2 linked regions of the Lonchura striata genome follow. The protein of the gene in region 2 interacts with the protein of the main gene of each other region in a biochemical or structural test. Links are inferred from orthologs where the notes say so. Each region holds a gene or a part of one and is shown on either strand. Other genes may lie near its edges.

Region 1 (7,889 bases), on a different chromosome or scaffold from region 2:
GACCCCAGCTCAGGCAGCACAGGGGTCTGCTGGGGCTGGGCCTTGCTGCAGGAGCATTTCAGGTGACCCCACAGCTCCAGGCTGCACGTGCCCCTTCACCCCAGGACCCTCCATGTCCCTGCATCCCCAAGGATGCTGCATTGTGTGTTTTGGCTTTCACTCCAAGCAACGGAAACAAATCAAACAAACCCCTCGAACTCCTGGGGATTTGGGCAAGTTTGGGCCATTTTAATTCAAAAATTGGCTGCAGCTGAACTGGCACTCTGCCCCACGCCCTGACTGTCCCCAGCCTCCCAGAAATGCTGCAGCTCCAGCCAATCCCCAGCAAGCCAGGGCTTGTTTTCCCTGTGGAAATAAAGTCCCTGTGGGAGGTCCCCATCCTGTGCAGGGGGCTCCCCACTGCCTCAGAGCGATCCCTAGTGCCAGTGGGCAGCTGGCAAAACAGCACATGTCATTTCAGGGGAGCCTGCCTGGCCAGGGAGAGGGGCTGCAGCCCCCAGGAGCATCCCAGGGCTCTGCCACCGCCCTGGTCACCCAGGACACCCCTGTGGAGCGTGACTGTCCCCCTGACCTTCAGCGTTGAGCAGCTTGCGGTCCCTGTACATGTCCGTCAGGAAGAGGCTGTTGACCAGGGTGGACTTGCCCAGCCCCGATTCCCCTGAGAAAGCAGGACAAAGATGAGGGAGCAGCCAGGATCCCCCTCCCCAGTGCAGGGTGTTTGGGATGCAAAGGGGGGCCAGCACCCCCAGGCCGGCTGGAGCCCCGTACCTGCCACCATGAGGGTGAAGTCAAAGCCCTTCTTCACAGACTTGCGATGCACCTGGTTGGGCAGCGTGGCAAAGCCCACGTACTCCTTGTCATCCTGCAGAGGGCACAGGGGACATGGGACAGGGACACCACCAGCCCACTTCCTATGCTGAAAAGCCCCCGCTTCGCTTCCCCCTACCCGCCAAGGGATTTCCAGGGTTGCAGTTCCAGGGGATGCGGCCATGCCTGCCCATTTGTGTTCACAAGATGGCAACACCCTCCGTCCCGCAGCCCCTCACGCCACGTGTGTGTCCCCCCTCCCCAGGGACACATCCTGCACCTCGGAGGAGTCGTAGGGGTCCAGCTGTCCCCAGGGGCTCCGCGGGCGGTTGGGGCTGGGGGGCGGGGGGGCGGCAATGTGCTGCTGGAAATCCGAGGGCCGGGAGCGGGAGAAAATCCTGGAGTCCCTCTCGTCACTGGCTTCGTCTGGGGGGACCCTGGCCACGCTGCCCAGGGGCTGGCCAGGCTCCCGCCGGCTCTCCGGGGCCTCCACCTTCCTGGAGCTGTCAGCTGGTGGGCAATCCCGCAGGAACTGGCTCAGCTCAGCCTCGTCCGAGTCCTCCTTCAGGAAACGTTTTATCTGGGGACCAAGGGAGGAGGTGACACTGGTGGTGGCAGTGCCAGCCCGACGTGGCACCACCCAGCTCAGCCTCACGACCCCCCAAGCCGCAGCAGCCGGACACATGCACCCTAAAGGTGGCGGGGATGGGAGGAGAGACGGGACACGGCCACCCCACGGGAGCAGCCACCACCCTGGGGACAGCCGTGGGTACAGCCATGGGGATGGCAGCGGGGACAGCCGTGGTCCCGTGCACCTCGGGCTCTTACGACTTGTGCCGTGGGGATGGCAGCCAGCTCCTGGCACTCCTGGGGACAGGGGTAGGCACCTTCCCCCTGGGCACCCCGCCGCTCCTCGGGGTCTTCTGGGGCAGCCAGGACCGCCCCGCGCCCCATGGCCTGCCAGGAGGGCCGGGAGGGGGCCGGAAGGAGGCAGAGACACCAAGAAGAGATGAAGAGCGGTTGGAGGGTGGCCTGAGCGGGGCTGCAGCCGGGGGAAGGCAGATGGGGGGCAGGGGTCCCCTGGTGCCCATGCCCCCCGCCCACTGCGGGGTGTCACCACAGGGGCCCCCGTCCCCGCAGTCCCGGGAGAAAACCAGGGCAGGGGACATGACCAGGACCCCGCCATCCCCTACCCCTGGCTCTTCCCGGGGGGCTGGGGGGACGGGCAGAGCTGCCCGTGGGGCGGCGGGGCTGGGACGAGGGACGATGGCTCCACATCCTGTTTACAAGCGCTGGCGGGAGGAGATGCGTTCCCAAGGGCGCGTCCGGCAGCGGCTCCCGTGGGACCAAGCCCTGCTGCCAGCAGGCACCAACGTCCCCAAGGCCCCAAGGCAGCTGCCAGGCGACCCCAGCCCCAAACAAGAGGCACGCAGCGGCCGGGGGAGCCGTGACCCTGCGGGCTCCCAGCTGGGGGAGTGCCCCCCCAGAGCGGGGCGTCGAGGCGAGGTCCCTCCATGGGGACAAGTGTCCTCCCCTGCGCCGTGTCCCCGCTCGCTGGCGGTGCCGGCGGCGAGGGGAGATGCTCGGAATCAGCGGGCTGGAAACAAGGTCACGGCGCTGCCCGGCCTCGGCGCCCGCACGCCCGGCCCCGCTCCCGCTGCCCCGCGGCCACAGCGCGGGGACCACGGCGCCAGGCTGGGGGGCACAGGTGGGACCCCCGTGCTCCCCGCTGCCCCAGCGGGTCCCGAGTGCTCGGTGGGTCTGTGTGACCGCAGCATCCTCTTCCTCCCCGCCCTTGACCTGGGGGTCTCAGCGCCAGCCCCAGCGCAGCCCGGCCGGGGACACTCGGGGATGGGAGGTGATGCCACCAGCGGCGGCGAGCGCCTCCAGCCTGCCGCTCCATCCCTCGGGGCTGCAGCCCTTTGGGGCTCGCCCTCATCTCCCACCCCCGGCGAAGCCGATGACTTCGGCAGTGCCGCGGCACCGAGGTTCGCGCTGCATCCCTGGGGGTCCTGCAGCAAGCGCGGCCCCTGGCAGGGCTGTCCCAGGGACGGAGGATCAGCTGCGGCACCTTCCCGCAGAACCGGGGTGCTCCGTGCCCCCCACCCCCTCTCTCGCCCCGCCGGGGACCGGCGCTGCCCCCGTACCTCTTGCCCAGGCTGCAGCTCGGGGCAGGTGGCCATGGCACAGCCAGCGTCGCCCGTGGCCAGCAGAAGATGCCGAGTGGCACCGGCCGCGGCGAGGGCTGGGGAGCAGCATTAGCATAACTCCACCCTGGGCAGGTCCCGCCGGGCACCCAGGAGCCAGGCACGGCCCCTGCGAGGGGCACGGCGGGGGAGAGGGACCCCTGGCAGAGCCACAGCCAGCTCCTGCCCGGCCGTGAAGGTTTCAAGGACCAGCTGTCATCAGCCAAGGGAGGTCCTGGGTGGGCTGCAGGACCACCAGCACCCTGGGCTGAACACACAGATTGGCTACAGCCCAGGAGGATGCTCAATCGTCGGGAATGCCTCTGTCCCAGGACAAAACCCTAACCCTAACCCTAACCCGCTCCATCCTGGGACAAAACTCCCTCTGTCCCAGGATAAAATTCCTCTCCATCCCAGTGCACACCACGTCCACTCCCACTGCCCATCTGGAGCATCCCCCAGCAGGGCTCCACAGCCTCTTTGAGGTCAGAAACCCAGTTTTCCCACACTTTTGCACCTGACACTTAAAGCTCCCCCAAGTGGCTTCAAGCTCTTGCTCGAACTGGGCCTGGCTAGGAAGGACCAGCCCTGGCCTGGGAGAAGCAGCTACGCTGCCCACCACGGGGATCTCAGGCAAAAGCTCCGACATTCCTGCCTCGACTTTGCCGGCTCATCCCTGGGAGGGGAAGGGTTAACAGTGCCCCAGGAGGAGCCGTGGGTGGCAGTCAGGATTCCCCAGCTGTCACTTCGGGGTCAGCAGGGATGGTGATTCACCTTGATGCGTGTCGAGATGCATCAGAGCAGCTCAGGCGCGATCCAGGCTCTCTCGGCCACTTTCCCAGCCCGCACTCCCGGCAGGAGCGGGGATTTACGGCAGCGAGAGCCCGGGGCAGTGCCGGTGCCCCCGTAAGAAGATTACACACGCGGCTGAGTGTGAGCCGGCCTCACAGCGGCCCCGCAGCCCCAGCGATACCCGCACACGCAGCCTCGTCCCCCCTGTCACCCCGCATCACACCGTCCCCGCGCGGTGACAGCCCGAGGGGGGACACGGGGGCAGCCTGACCTCACAAAGCCACCGGCTGCCCCTGAGCATCGTTCCACAGGTACCACATTCCCACGGGAGGTGTTTTCCGCCTCCGCGTCTGCAGGGAAAGGAAGGGAACATCCCGGCGAGGTGCTGTCCCTACCGCCAGGCCGACAGAGGCCTTCCCAAGCCCTCTAAAGGTGACACCCAGAATGCCACCCGCGGCACAGCCACGGTGTCACCACGACTGACTATTCCAGGCACAAAAGCTCTCCCAAAAACACGAGCCCTGCGCAGGACAAGCCCCCAGCAAAAGCTCAGCGCTGCCAGGACCAGGGAGACGGGATCTGGGCTCTGCCTGCTCGGCCCCGCCTCTGGATACACGGGATGCTCCCGCTGCAGAATCAGGGGACCCCCAGCTCTGCCATCCCACCCATCAGCAGCATTCCAGACGGGAAATTGAGTCTCCCGGCAGCTCCGAGAGGAGCAGGGTGCTGGGCACCCCAAGGATGGGGGCAGGCTCTGGGCAGGGGGTCAGCACCGGGCAGGCGAGCACTGGGGATGGGAGCCACAGCCCTGGGTGCAGCAGCTGCAGTCCCTCTCCCGCAGGGAATCCTCCAGCTTTAAGGGCCTGTGAGCACCTGAGTGGGGACCCCAGGATGGGACCATGGCTCCCTGTGAGCCAGGGCATGACAGCGAGGCCTGTCCAGGCTGAAAACCAGGTGACACCTCAGCGCGTGGGGCCGGGCAAGGTCTGACCCACTCCGAGCCGGGAGCAGAGGCCCGGGAGGGGGGACCAGTGCTGATGCTGCTCCTCCGGGCCAGCTGGGAACTGCCCTGGGGACAGAGGGATGTGGCACTGGTGGCAGGGGCAGCGGCTCTGCCTCTGTGGGTCCTTCTGGAGCACCTCCAGCCCCAACTCTCCCCACGTGCGTGGGTGAGGAAGTCCCCAGCTGTGACCGCTGTCCCCCGCGATGTTCCGGAGGCTGCTGTGTGCATCCCACAGCCACAGTCTGGAGCCTGTCGGGAAGGCGCTCGGCTGCGACACGCTCCGCCAGCCGCCCTCCTCCCTGCTTTCCCTGCATCCAGCTCCGGAGGAATGTGCCGGGCTGGTTCCCACGGCGGCTGCCGGGGCAGCGCGGCCGCAGCGCTCCCCACCGAGGCCGCCTGCCCAGCGGCCACCAGCCGGTGCCACGCAGCCCTCCGTCCTCATCCCGAGCCCGGACACAGCCCCAGGTCCCCGCGGAGACGTGGCCCGGCCGGGCGGCTCCTGGGAACCTGCCACCACCGCGGAGGAGCGAGGCAGGACGGGAGATGCAGAACAAGCTCCCGCGGGTGGGAATGGCAGCGGCGGCTCCGGACCTTGCCGGTGAGTACCGGGCCGGCTCCCTGCGTGTGACGGTCCCGGCCGAGGGCCCGGCCAGGCCGGCAGTGCCAGCAGCGCCGCAGCCCGGGGACCTGCCAAGAGCTGGGAACCGATGCTCGGCGCGGAACCGCACCAGAGCGGCTCCCGCTGTCCGCGCACGGACACGCGTGGGGGGAGCGCAGGACGGGGTGACACGCAGGTGACGCTCCCGAGCGCTGCCCCGGTAAGGGACCCCGCCTCCCCCGGGGCTGCCGCTCTCCGCACCGGGCAGGTGCTGCCCCGCCGCCCGCGTCCCCCCCGCGCTCCGCTGCGGCACCGGCGGCCCCGGTCCGCTCCGCCCCCGCTCACCGTCACCTTCACGGAGGGCAGCGGGCTGCGGGAGCGGGGCGGTGCGGGGCAGCCCGGCCCGGGCCGCTCCACGTCCGCCCGGCCTTACCATGGCTGCGGCGCCGGGCGCCGTCCGGGAGCGGCGGCTGCCGATGGGCACGGCCGGGCCCCGGCGGATTAGCAGAAATAGCAGCGGCGGGGGCGGGGGCGGCCCCGGGGCGGGGCGGGCGGGGGGGCGGGCGGGGCGGCCGCTCGGCATCACCGGCACCGGCACCGGGCACCGGCACCGGCACCGGCCCCGGCACCGGCACCGGCAGCAGCGCCCGGCGCCGCGCACTGCTCACGGGTACAGGCAGCAGCAGCGCTCGGCGTCGGCACCGGCACCGAGCAATGTGCACCGGGCACCGGGACCAGACACCGCACACCGGGCACCGGCACCACGCACTGGGTACCGACACCGGGCACTGGGCATCAGCATCCAGCCCTGGCATTCGGCTCGGGCATCAATACCTGGCACCGGCACCGGGCACTCGCTTTGGCACTGGGGCCGGGCACCGTGCACGGCTCTGGCAGCACTCACTGGGCACCGGGAACTGCACTGTGGCACCAGGTAGTGGCACAGGGCAGCAGCACCAGGCACAGGGCTCCAGCAGCAGCCCTGGGGCACCAGCGCCAGGAACAAAACACTGCAGCAGGGACAGGGCACCAGTACCAGGGACAGGGCGCCAGTACTGGGTGCCGGGCATTGGCAGGGCCCAGTGCAGGCAGTGGGTACGAGGCCCCAGCACCAGTTAGTGGCGCAGGTGAGAGGGAATGGTCCCCGTGACAGTGAGTGACCTCCTGGCAGTGTCACCAGCACCAGGCATTGCACTGCAGGTACTGCGCAGGAGGCTCCACACCAGCCACTGGCTCTTGGGAACACTGGGCACCACTTAGGGGGTGTTAGGTACTGGGAAAACACCCCAGCACCACACGTCCCACATCACCTGCTGGGGACCAGGGACTGGTGACTGCACTGAGCCGGGGTCACCAAGTCCCAGTCTCCCAGAGTTCCCGCTGCAAAATCCCAGCCTGCCTCCCCCTCCCGAAGCCCTTCCCGGGGCTGCTGAGCCATCCTGCCCCTGCCTGGTGGGCTGGCAAAGGGACCCAGGCACCCAGGCTGGCCGTGCCCCTCTCCCCATCCCCACCCCCATCCCACCTCAAGGATGGCAGCATCTCCCCGGGATGCCCCCGGCCCCGAGCCCATGTGAGTGGCAGTGGCACGCGGCTGTGTCCCCGTGTCCCTGAGGGCAGGGAGGATGCTGGCACCGCGGGCGGGGTTGCCCGGAGCGAGCGCTCGTGTTCCGGCATGAAAGGGGCCGGGGGAGCCTTGGCCGCGGCGGCTGCTCCCCGTGGCGAGCAGCTGGCAGAGCTCAGCCCTCCCCCAAATTTCAGTCTCCCGGCCCAGCTGCTCCTCAGCACTGTCCTTGTCCCACCTCAAATTCACTCCAAGCCAGGGGGCTGGCGAGGTCACATGCATTCCCAGCACATCCCTCTCATGAGCTTCTCCTCACTTGCCTCAGTTTCCCTGCCAATGAAAAAAGCCAGTGGTAATTCCCCAGGAGGAAAAGATAGATCCGGCCCCAGTCAGGCTCTGATTGAAGCTTTGTGACTCCACAGGGACTATCTCAGCCTTGTCCCCAACCTTATCACTGCCTGGAATCTCTTTCCCTCGGACGTTATAGACCCAGGCCGTGTCCAGATTGGCTCTACATTCCCTTTATTCCCATAAATAACCACCACAGGCTCAACACAGCCTCAGAGAGCACCGGTGGCCACCTCGACCCTGTATTCGGGGGTCCAAGCAGGGGCAGGCAGGGGCAGGCAGGTGAGGATGGCTGTTTACATCCCTAATCCCCACAGCCAGCGCTTTCCTCCAGGATTACCGGGGATTAGGGGCTCGGGGGCTCCAGGAGCTCAGCCTGGGCTCTCCCTGCCCTTCAAGGAGCAGAGCTGAGCCCCGCGGGGGTGGGAGGGCACTGCCGGGGTGAGCCGGGCGCTCCCATCCCGGCACTGTGGGACGAGCTCGGTGCCCTCGACCTGGCCAGCTGGCACAGCCCGGAGCAACCACCCGCTTTGCTCCGGTAGCCCAGTGCCCATCGAGGCCGGGGAGCGGCAACCTGGGCTTTACCGGGAGCAT
Region 2 (7,799 bases):
GTTAAGCCCTGACCAGAAGATATCCAGGCCAATTGCGTTTGGAAATGGAACCTAAATCTACAGTTGGCTCTTGCCTGTGCTGCCAAGTGGTAAGAAAAGCAAACAACTCTGAGTGAAAGAATGCTGATTTCTGTGAGCTGAAAATAAGCAAAGCTCTCCATAATGGTGTGATCTTCATTAAATCTGGGACATTTTATAGCTCAGGATGATGCAATGACACTGAGTTTAGCTATGAAAAAACCAAAAAGTTGCAAGATGTATTTGACAATCACTGTCTAAGAATGTTTCTCATTTCAGCTGTCCAGATGAATGGAAACAGCCAGTATTAGCTAATGTTTAAGATTCTTACTTGCCTAAACAGCTTTTACCAAATGGAAATCATCTTAACAATGTGAACTCATGCCTCCTTTGTACCTTTATTTTTTCTGTGTGAGAATTTAGGAAATGTCTACAGAAAAAGAACTGGTACAATCATGAAACAATTACTGTTAAAAGAAAAAGGGGAATTTAGAACAATTAATTCTTACGTGGACATGATACTAAAGCCAAATAATAAAAAAATAATTTCTTCCAAAAAGTAATTCTTAATTGTCTGTGCAGAAAAAGTAAAGCACTCAATTGTTTAACCCTCAAAGCAGATAATAAAGTTGTGCCTTGTCACATGAATAATGGAACTGGTTAATACAGAGGAAAAGAGCTGTTGGATGTTTTATTTCTTTTGCTTTTGTACATTTCCAGCTCTCCCAATAGATGGCTGTAGTACTTATTTTGAAAACCAAGAATAAATACATTTTTATAAGATCCAATTACCACTGATATTTTTTTAGCTATGTATTTGCTGGATAATGTACTACAGCCTTGAAAACCTTGTATTTACTGTTCAGTTAAATAACTTCCTGCTGCTATCCAGCTGTTACCATAGTGGTGACAGAGGCATTTCCTTTAATGTAGCTCGGACAAAGCCTTCAGAGCACTTCTTTATTCAGGCAGGAAGCACAGTAGGTGATTTAAGATTGTGCTGTGACATATCCTGCATTTGCAGGCATCATTCTTCCTTCTTTTCAACATTTTATTTTATTCCATTATTTAGAAAGGTAAATGTAAACCTGTTGAAACAACAGAAACACAAAATTGTCCTGGCTTTTAACAAGGTTCTCTGACTTATTGATACAAATCTGAGGATGCCCAGGATGCTTTTTCTAGCAAATAAAAGCCTCATGAAAAGATGAAGAATGAACTATAAAGGCTGTTTTACAGAACTAAAATATAAGTCTTATTTTTTAACCTAGGAATTCCTCCCAGTTCAGCTAACATCAAGTGCTACGGAGAAAGACATTTCACTATCTAGAGATGTCCACCACAAAAGCAAGGATAAGTCAGAACTGAATATGACTTTATAGTGTGGAACAGACTACTCTGTGTCAAAAATACGTCATTCTGAGAAGGAATTGGTACATACTTATTTTAAAAATATTTTGCTTTGCCTACATTACTTTATGCAATACAAAATGCAATGTCTATGTTTTAGAGCTTATATGTCATATATAGAATCCATATTAATTAAGGAGAATGTATTTTATATAAATATTAAATGTTATGTTAAATAACCACTAAAGGTTTTGTATAGTACTATAGAAATGCTGTGGAATCAAGACTCTTCTCAGAGTAGATTTTAAAACTGGTTCTGTCATGTGTATTTCTGCATTGCATGTACTGTCTTTTATTTTCAGCCTGTCCCAGTCCGTTACTAATATACTTCAAGAAATAAGAGGTTTAAATTCCTTAAGTAAACTTGGGAATTAATCTGTTGGTCCTGCAATGATTTGATGGCTTTATTCTACTGCATTTCTCCATGACTGCCTCTTCCTCCTCATCATGAAGGCAAAATCTCAAATTTTTATCTTCAGACCTTACATAACTATTCCTACATACATCCTTGCACCTAATATATTTTGTTAGATTCTTGTTTTCTGTTTATGTGACTCTTAGGCTTATCTTCTAAATAGACTTATTGCATTTGCTTATAACACCCTCTCATTTTATTCCTCGGGCCTGCAATTCTATGCTTATCATTTATACATATGTTTTCAATATATTTATTGAATTTTTATTTTAAAAATAATCTATCAGAAATAGATTAGGCATTTGTAAACTGAGTGTATCTTCTATTACACTGCATATAGTATGCCTGGAATGTGGTCTCCATATAATTAAAATATAAGTATGAGAAGCAGAGAATCTGCCTCCTTTACTCCTTGTGTTACTGCAGAGTTTAGGGTTGTAAGGGATCCCCTTGAAGTAGGCGTTGTTCATAAGCAGCCTTCTGCACAATATTCTGCACAGCTCGCAGAAACTGGCTGAGAATGGTAACTGAAACAACACCAGTCCCTGTCTCAGGCAGAATTATGTAGATTTGCTGAAATGCTAGACTTCCTGATCAGAGCTATTTTGCGAGTGGAAAGCTGTTACACCTATATATATATATATATATATAAAACAAGCAAGCTGCACGTTTCAGTTCAGAGTGGAGAACAAGGCAGCGAGCACAGCAGTGCTGGCACCGATAACGGCACAGGGGCTGTGGGGCCTCACCTTTAGATTTTATTTCAATTTCCCCATTTGCTGAAGTTTCATTGTATTTGTGAAACAATTGACACTACTGTAGAGGAGGAAGCATGTACAAGACTGAGAACGTAGGTGGCTTGAGAGGAAAGAGAAATGTCTGACTAAAAACATTTGCTACCCGACCAAATGGAGTGTTTTAACCCTAATATCCCAATTAGCAACTGAAGGGAACACAGAACAACTTGCAGAAACTTAATGGAGACAAGCGACATGTAATAAAATAGGCACACGCATTAGGGGCGACACGCGGAATACGAGGTCCATACAACTGCTTGTCCTAAGTGCTTGTATCGGAAGGACCATTTAGACGTGTCATAGCAAGCTTTACACAATCCCTTTTTAACCGCCTATTTATTCAAACGATTTACCATTCTCGCCCTCTCTCCGAGCAGACATCTCGCCGCTCCGCCGTGCTCGGGGCCGGCGGCGCCTCACGCGCACCCGCACCGCGCGTGCGCACATGCGCCCGCTGCACCGACGCACGCGCCACGCGCGGGCACCCGCCCCACGCCTCCAACGCGCGCGCGCCGCGGCTCTAACGCGGACACGGACCGACACACGGCTGTAACCAGGACACACAGACACAGACCGGCACACGGCTGTAACCAGGACACACAGACACGGACCGACACATGGCTGTAACCAGGACACACAGACCGACACACGGCTGTAACCCGGACACACAGACACAGACTGACACATGGCTGTAACCAGGACACACAGACACAGACTGACACACGGCTGTAACCAGGACACACAGACCGGCACACGGCTGTAACCAGGACACACAGACCGGCACACGGCTGTAGCCCGGACACACAGACCGGCATACAGCTGTAACCAGGACACACAGACCGGCACACGGCTCTAACCCGCGCACACAGACCGGCACACGGCTCTAACCAGCGCACACCATCACACCACCACGCGGCTCTAACCGCACACACACACGCACAACCATGCGGATCTAACGCGCACACGCACACACAAACCACTACGCGGTTCTAACGCGCGCACACGCGCACACACACACACACACACACACACACACACACACACACACACAACCACGCGGCTCTAACGCGCGCACGCACACACAAAACCACGCGGCTCTAATGCGCGCGCGCGCGCGCACGCCCCCAGCACCACGCGTCCCTAACGCGCGCCCGCGGAGCCCGACGCCCCCGGGACTTCAGCGCGCACGCGCGCGAGGCGCCCCGCCCCGCCCCGCGGTTCTAACGCACGCGCGCGGGCGTGGCACCGCCCCGCGGCCCCCGCGCGCAGGCGCAGTCCGCCCCGCCGCCTCCCCGCTCGGCGCGGCCGCGTCCCGCGGTTTCTCGCGGCCCGTCCGTCCCCTCTGACCCGGCGCCGCCGCTGCTCCATCCGGGCCCTCGGCGCTGCACGGGGAAGATGGCGGCGCTGCTCCCGGCCGAGTGGATAAAGAACTGGGAGAAAGGCGGCAAGAGCGAGTTGTGAGTGCGGGGCCTCGCCGTGGGGAGGGATGGGCGCTGCGGCCTGCGAGAGGGGGGCGAGGGCCTCGGCGGCCCGGGGAGGCTGGGGGGCGGCGCAGAGGCCTTCGGCCGGGGCTGCGTCCTTGCTGCTGGACGTGGGGTCGAAGCCGTGGTCGGGAGGAGGGCCTGGGCCGCTCTCCCGTCGGGTCCGGCCGGGTGCTGCCGCCCTCCGCCGACGCCCGGCCGCCGTAGCTGGGCCCGGCTGTGCCGGCGCCCCGAGCGCCCCATCCAGCTCCGGGCCGGGCTTGGCGGGGGTCGGGCTCATCTTCAGCCGCCCCCCGAGGTAATGCGGACCCCGAAGCGTGCCTGTGTCGCTGCTCTACAGTACTGACCTTTCTGGCAGAGGCCTCAGCCCCCGTTCCCGCTTTTTTACCGATTCCGGTGGGACTGGCCCTGTATTCTTTGATCCAGGCAGAGTACGGTTAGGTAGTCACTCCTGTTCTATTCCACAAAGTAACGTTTGTTCACGGAGGGGTTCGGTTGCCACCTCTCAAACTAATCCAGGTGTGCCAGGAGCTTTCCATTGTGGGCCTGTGTTTGTTTTAAGCCATCTTTATGTGGCAAGTTCACTAAATGTTGTGTTTCAGGAGTACAGCTCTTCAAAGGGCGCTTCACCAGTTTGGTCATTTCATGTTTCTCTGTTAGCTTAACAGGGGTGTTCTTTGCACTAGCTATATGTTTTTTATGCGCTTTTATTTTAATTCTTCCATGTGCTTTTGCTTTTTGTTGTAAGAAACAACAAAATTTTAAATTTTTCAGTTTTAAATATGAATGTTGCAGGGATCACTTAGAGAAACACTTCCTGATAATCACTCATTTTATTTTCTTTTGTTCGTGTTTTCTGAAAGCTTGTGCAGCTTTGGCAATGAATTTTCTTTGTGCATGAGGGGAAATGGCAGTGGGTTGGAGATTAGAGAATGTAGAGAATCCCGGCACAAAACACTGTTCTTTCCAGAGCCACCATTTTGTAGTGAAGGGGGCCCCCTTTATAGCCGTGTAATTTTTAGTTTGAATCATGCTGGAGCCATTATTTGTGTTAGTACACAAGCTGAACATGTTGAGAGGCTGGTGGAGTTTGCAGGAGAACAGACATTTCACAGCTGATCACGTAATGGCAACTGCACTGTTCTCACTGGGTTCCCAGCTCTCTGAGCTTTGTAAGAGGCAACTTACATGGCTTGTGACCATGATAAAACCTTCTAGGATTGTTCTCTCCCCTCAGAGCAGGACTTCTTTAACAGGGTGGGAGGAGAGTGTTCATCTGCTGTGGGACCAATAAAACAAAATGATTAGCTAGATTCTTGTATTTGTGGTACTTGCACTTCATTTGGAAGACTGCTTAAATGGTGTTCCAGGCGTGACTTAAAGAGCAATTTGCAGATGAGGCCATATGTTTTAAAAGAAATGTAATTGTGTCTGGATAACAGTTGTCAGGTTTTGCAGTGGTAGCTTTAGAAATTTGAGAAATATGCATGAACTTATTTTCTGGAATCTAAAGTATATGCATGTAGACAATATTTAGAGAACTTTTTTAGGAAGACAGCTTTAATGGGAGAGTCTTCAGTGTGTAACTTTTTGTTTCTTTTTCCAAAACTTCCTATCTTCTGATTAACTAGAGGAAAACGCAGCTGGGATGCTATCATTTCAGAATGAAACACATGAAGTGTTTTTAAGCATTAAAGTAAAAAGGGAATAAATGCAATAACACTACTTATTTTTATTGAATTATTTGTCTAATACGAGTATGCCCAAGAATAAAAATTACGTCTAGGTGTAAGTTTACCCTTGGTCTTTGTGGTTGAAAGTGAGGACAATTCATTAAAATGATGTTAGAAAAGTGGGGAGGGGAAGGATGCTACAGAATGGCAAAACTGACATTACTAGCAAATAGAAGAATTACAAAAATTTAGAAGGTTTTTGGTAGGCATTTTAGGGGGATAAAAACCCTTCATAATTGCTAAAAAAGATTAGTTCTTATGGAAAAATATTTACTTGCTGGAGTATGAAATGGCTTACAGGATCTGGCTAGATCAGTTGAGATAGTATTTTGGCAGTAGTTACCTAAATGAGAACACATTTCTATGTTTTGGGGGAATATGAAACTATATTGAGAGAAGAAAATGCTTTCTTTCAATTTGGCATTTCAACTTCTACTAGAATTTATTAATCTACTAGGATTAATAATGGATACTCTAAGATAATTATACTTTTTTTTTTTGTTTTGGGTTTTTTTTGTATTTTATTTTTTTCAATGGTGTGATATTTTTGATTATGTGATCAACTTGTCATGATTTAACAGTGCTATCCAGAAATCAGAAGGTAAGGATTTTATGTCTTAAGAGTGTCATAATGTTAATTAGTAATGCAGCAGTGACCATTTGCTTCCAAGACATTGTTCAGAGACATCGGTCAAAACTGTACAAGCTTTGGATTTAATTAATTAAGCTACTGACGTGTAATAGTATCTAATAAAAATACACAAATGTGGTAGTTTCAAGTTCAGATCTGTCTCTAAGTACACTTTATTAAAATATATTCATTTATTTGCTACTGCCAGATACTGGTGTGCAAATGAAGTTGGAATCCAAGTGTGATGACTTACGCTGCTCAGTCTGGACTCCTTGTAGACCTACTTGTGTGTGCTGTGTTTGAAGGAAAATTATTTCCACAAGAAGATGCTGATCTATGACTGCAGCCCACATGGGCATTTATAAGTTACATAGTAACTGGTACCTTACCTTGTTTTGTGAGAGATTCAACGCATCAAGGAGCCTTTAGCATGGATGGAGGGCTTTAATAGAGTACCTGCCTGGCAGTTCATACACTATGTTAAGCCTCAGGGTAAACTGAAGAAGCTTAACATTCTGTGAATGTGAAATTTTGGGAATTGATCTTTCAGGCGCTTGTAGCTTGGTCGTTACTTTAACTCAACACTGTAACATTGCTCATGCAAGTGAAGGGCTGAGAATCAGCAAAAGAGAGTTTGGTTTAGTTGTGCCATCCTATCTGCAAAATGCACTTGATTGTACTTTATCTCAGCTAAAGAACTACCTGCATCAGTTGAGTTATGCATATACTTAAATGCTAGCAGGCACATGCACTTTGTGATAATTACTGCTTTAATCCCCATGTGGGAGTGAAATGGAGGTTATAGGACGTGGTGTACAAGTTGGGAGGTCTCAGTTCCGGTGCTGCCTCTGCCATGCAAACTTGTTCACACTGTTTCAGAATCTATCCCATCATAGTCCAAAATAAATTTAATTTTGAAACTGTGGTTTTCAAAAGTAATTTTGTGTTTTTTTAAAAATATTTTTGACAGTTTTACTTTCAGATGAAGAGATGTAGGTTTTAGTAGAGCAGGGGAAGTCCTCCATCATAAGCTTGCAGCAATGAGCTACCAGGTCAGAGTAATAAGTCAAATGAACACTTACCAGATTGTGTCTTGTGAAGGTGCAACTGTTTTGATTTTAATTTCATGCACTCAGCTAAGACTAGATGAACTAATCACTCAGCTTGTTACTGGAAAGGAGGGCTTGTACCTTGTCTTCAGTCAGCAGGGTGCCTCTGTGGCCTCCTAGTAAGTGCTTCAACTTGCAGAGGTGGCTGGAGATTTGGGTTTTGACCAGTTTTCTGCCAGGTTTCTCAGTTTCACTGATCTAACTG

The links.
Region 1: the proteins of XIAP (region 2) and SEPTIN4 form a complex in vitro, tested with the Homo sapiens proteins (4 studies listed by BioGRID, with this or other methods). The link is inferred for Lonchura striata from reciprocal best matches to the Homo sapiens genes XIAP and SEPTIN4.

What each region holds. Positions count from the first base shown.
Region 1 is NC_134622.1:1,508,744-1,516,632, reverse strand, and holds the start of SEPTIN4 (septin-4), read right to left. Parts: upstream 3,051-7,889; 5' UTR 2,991-3,050; coding exon 2,955-2,990; intron 1,388-2,954; coding exon 1,088-1,387; intron 863-1,087; coding exon 769-862; intron 659-768; coding exon 572-658; intron 1-571. UniProt on the Homo sapiens protein: Filament-forming cytoskeletal GTPase. Pro-apoptotic protein involved in LGR5-positive intestinal stem cell and Paneth cell expansion in the intestines, via its interaction with XIAP. May also play a role in the regulation of cell fate in the intestine.
Region 2 is NC_134616.1:9,795,399-9,803,197, reverse strand, and holds the start of XIAP (E3 ubiquitin-protein ligase XIAP), read right to left. Parts: upstream 3,079-7,799; 5' UTR 2,994-3,078; intron 1-2,993. Other genes in the region: THOC2 (THO complex subunit 2), read left to right, coding at 4,036-4,097.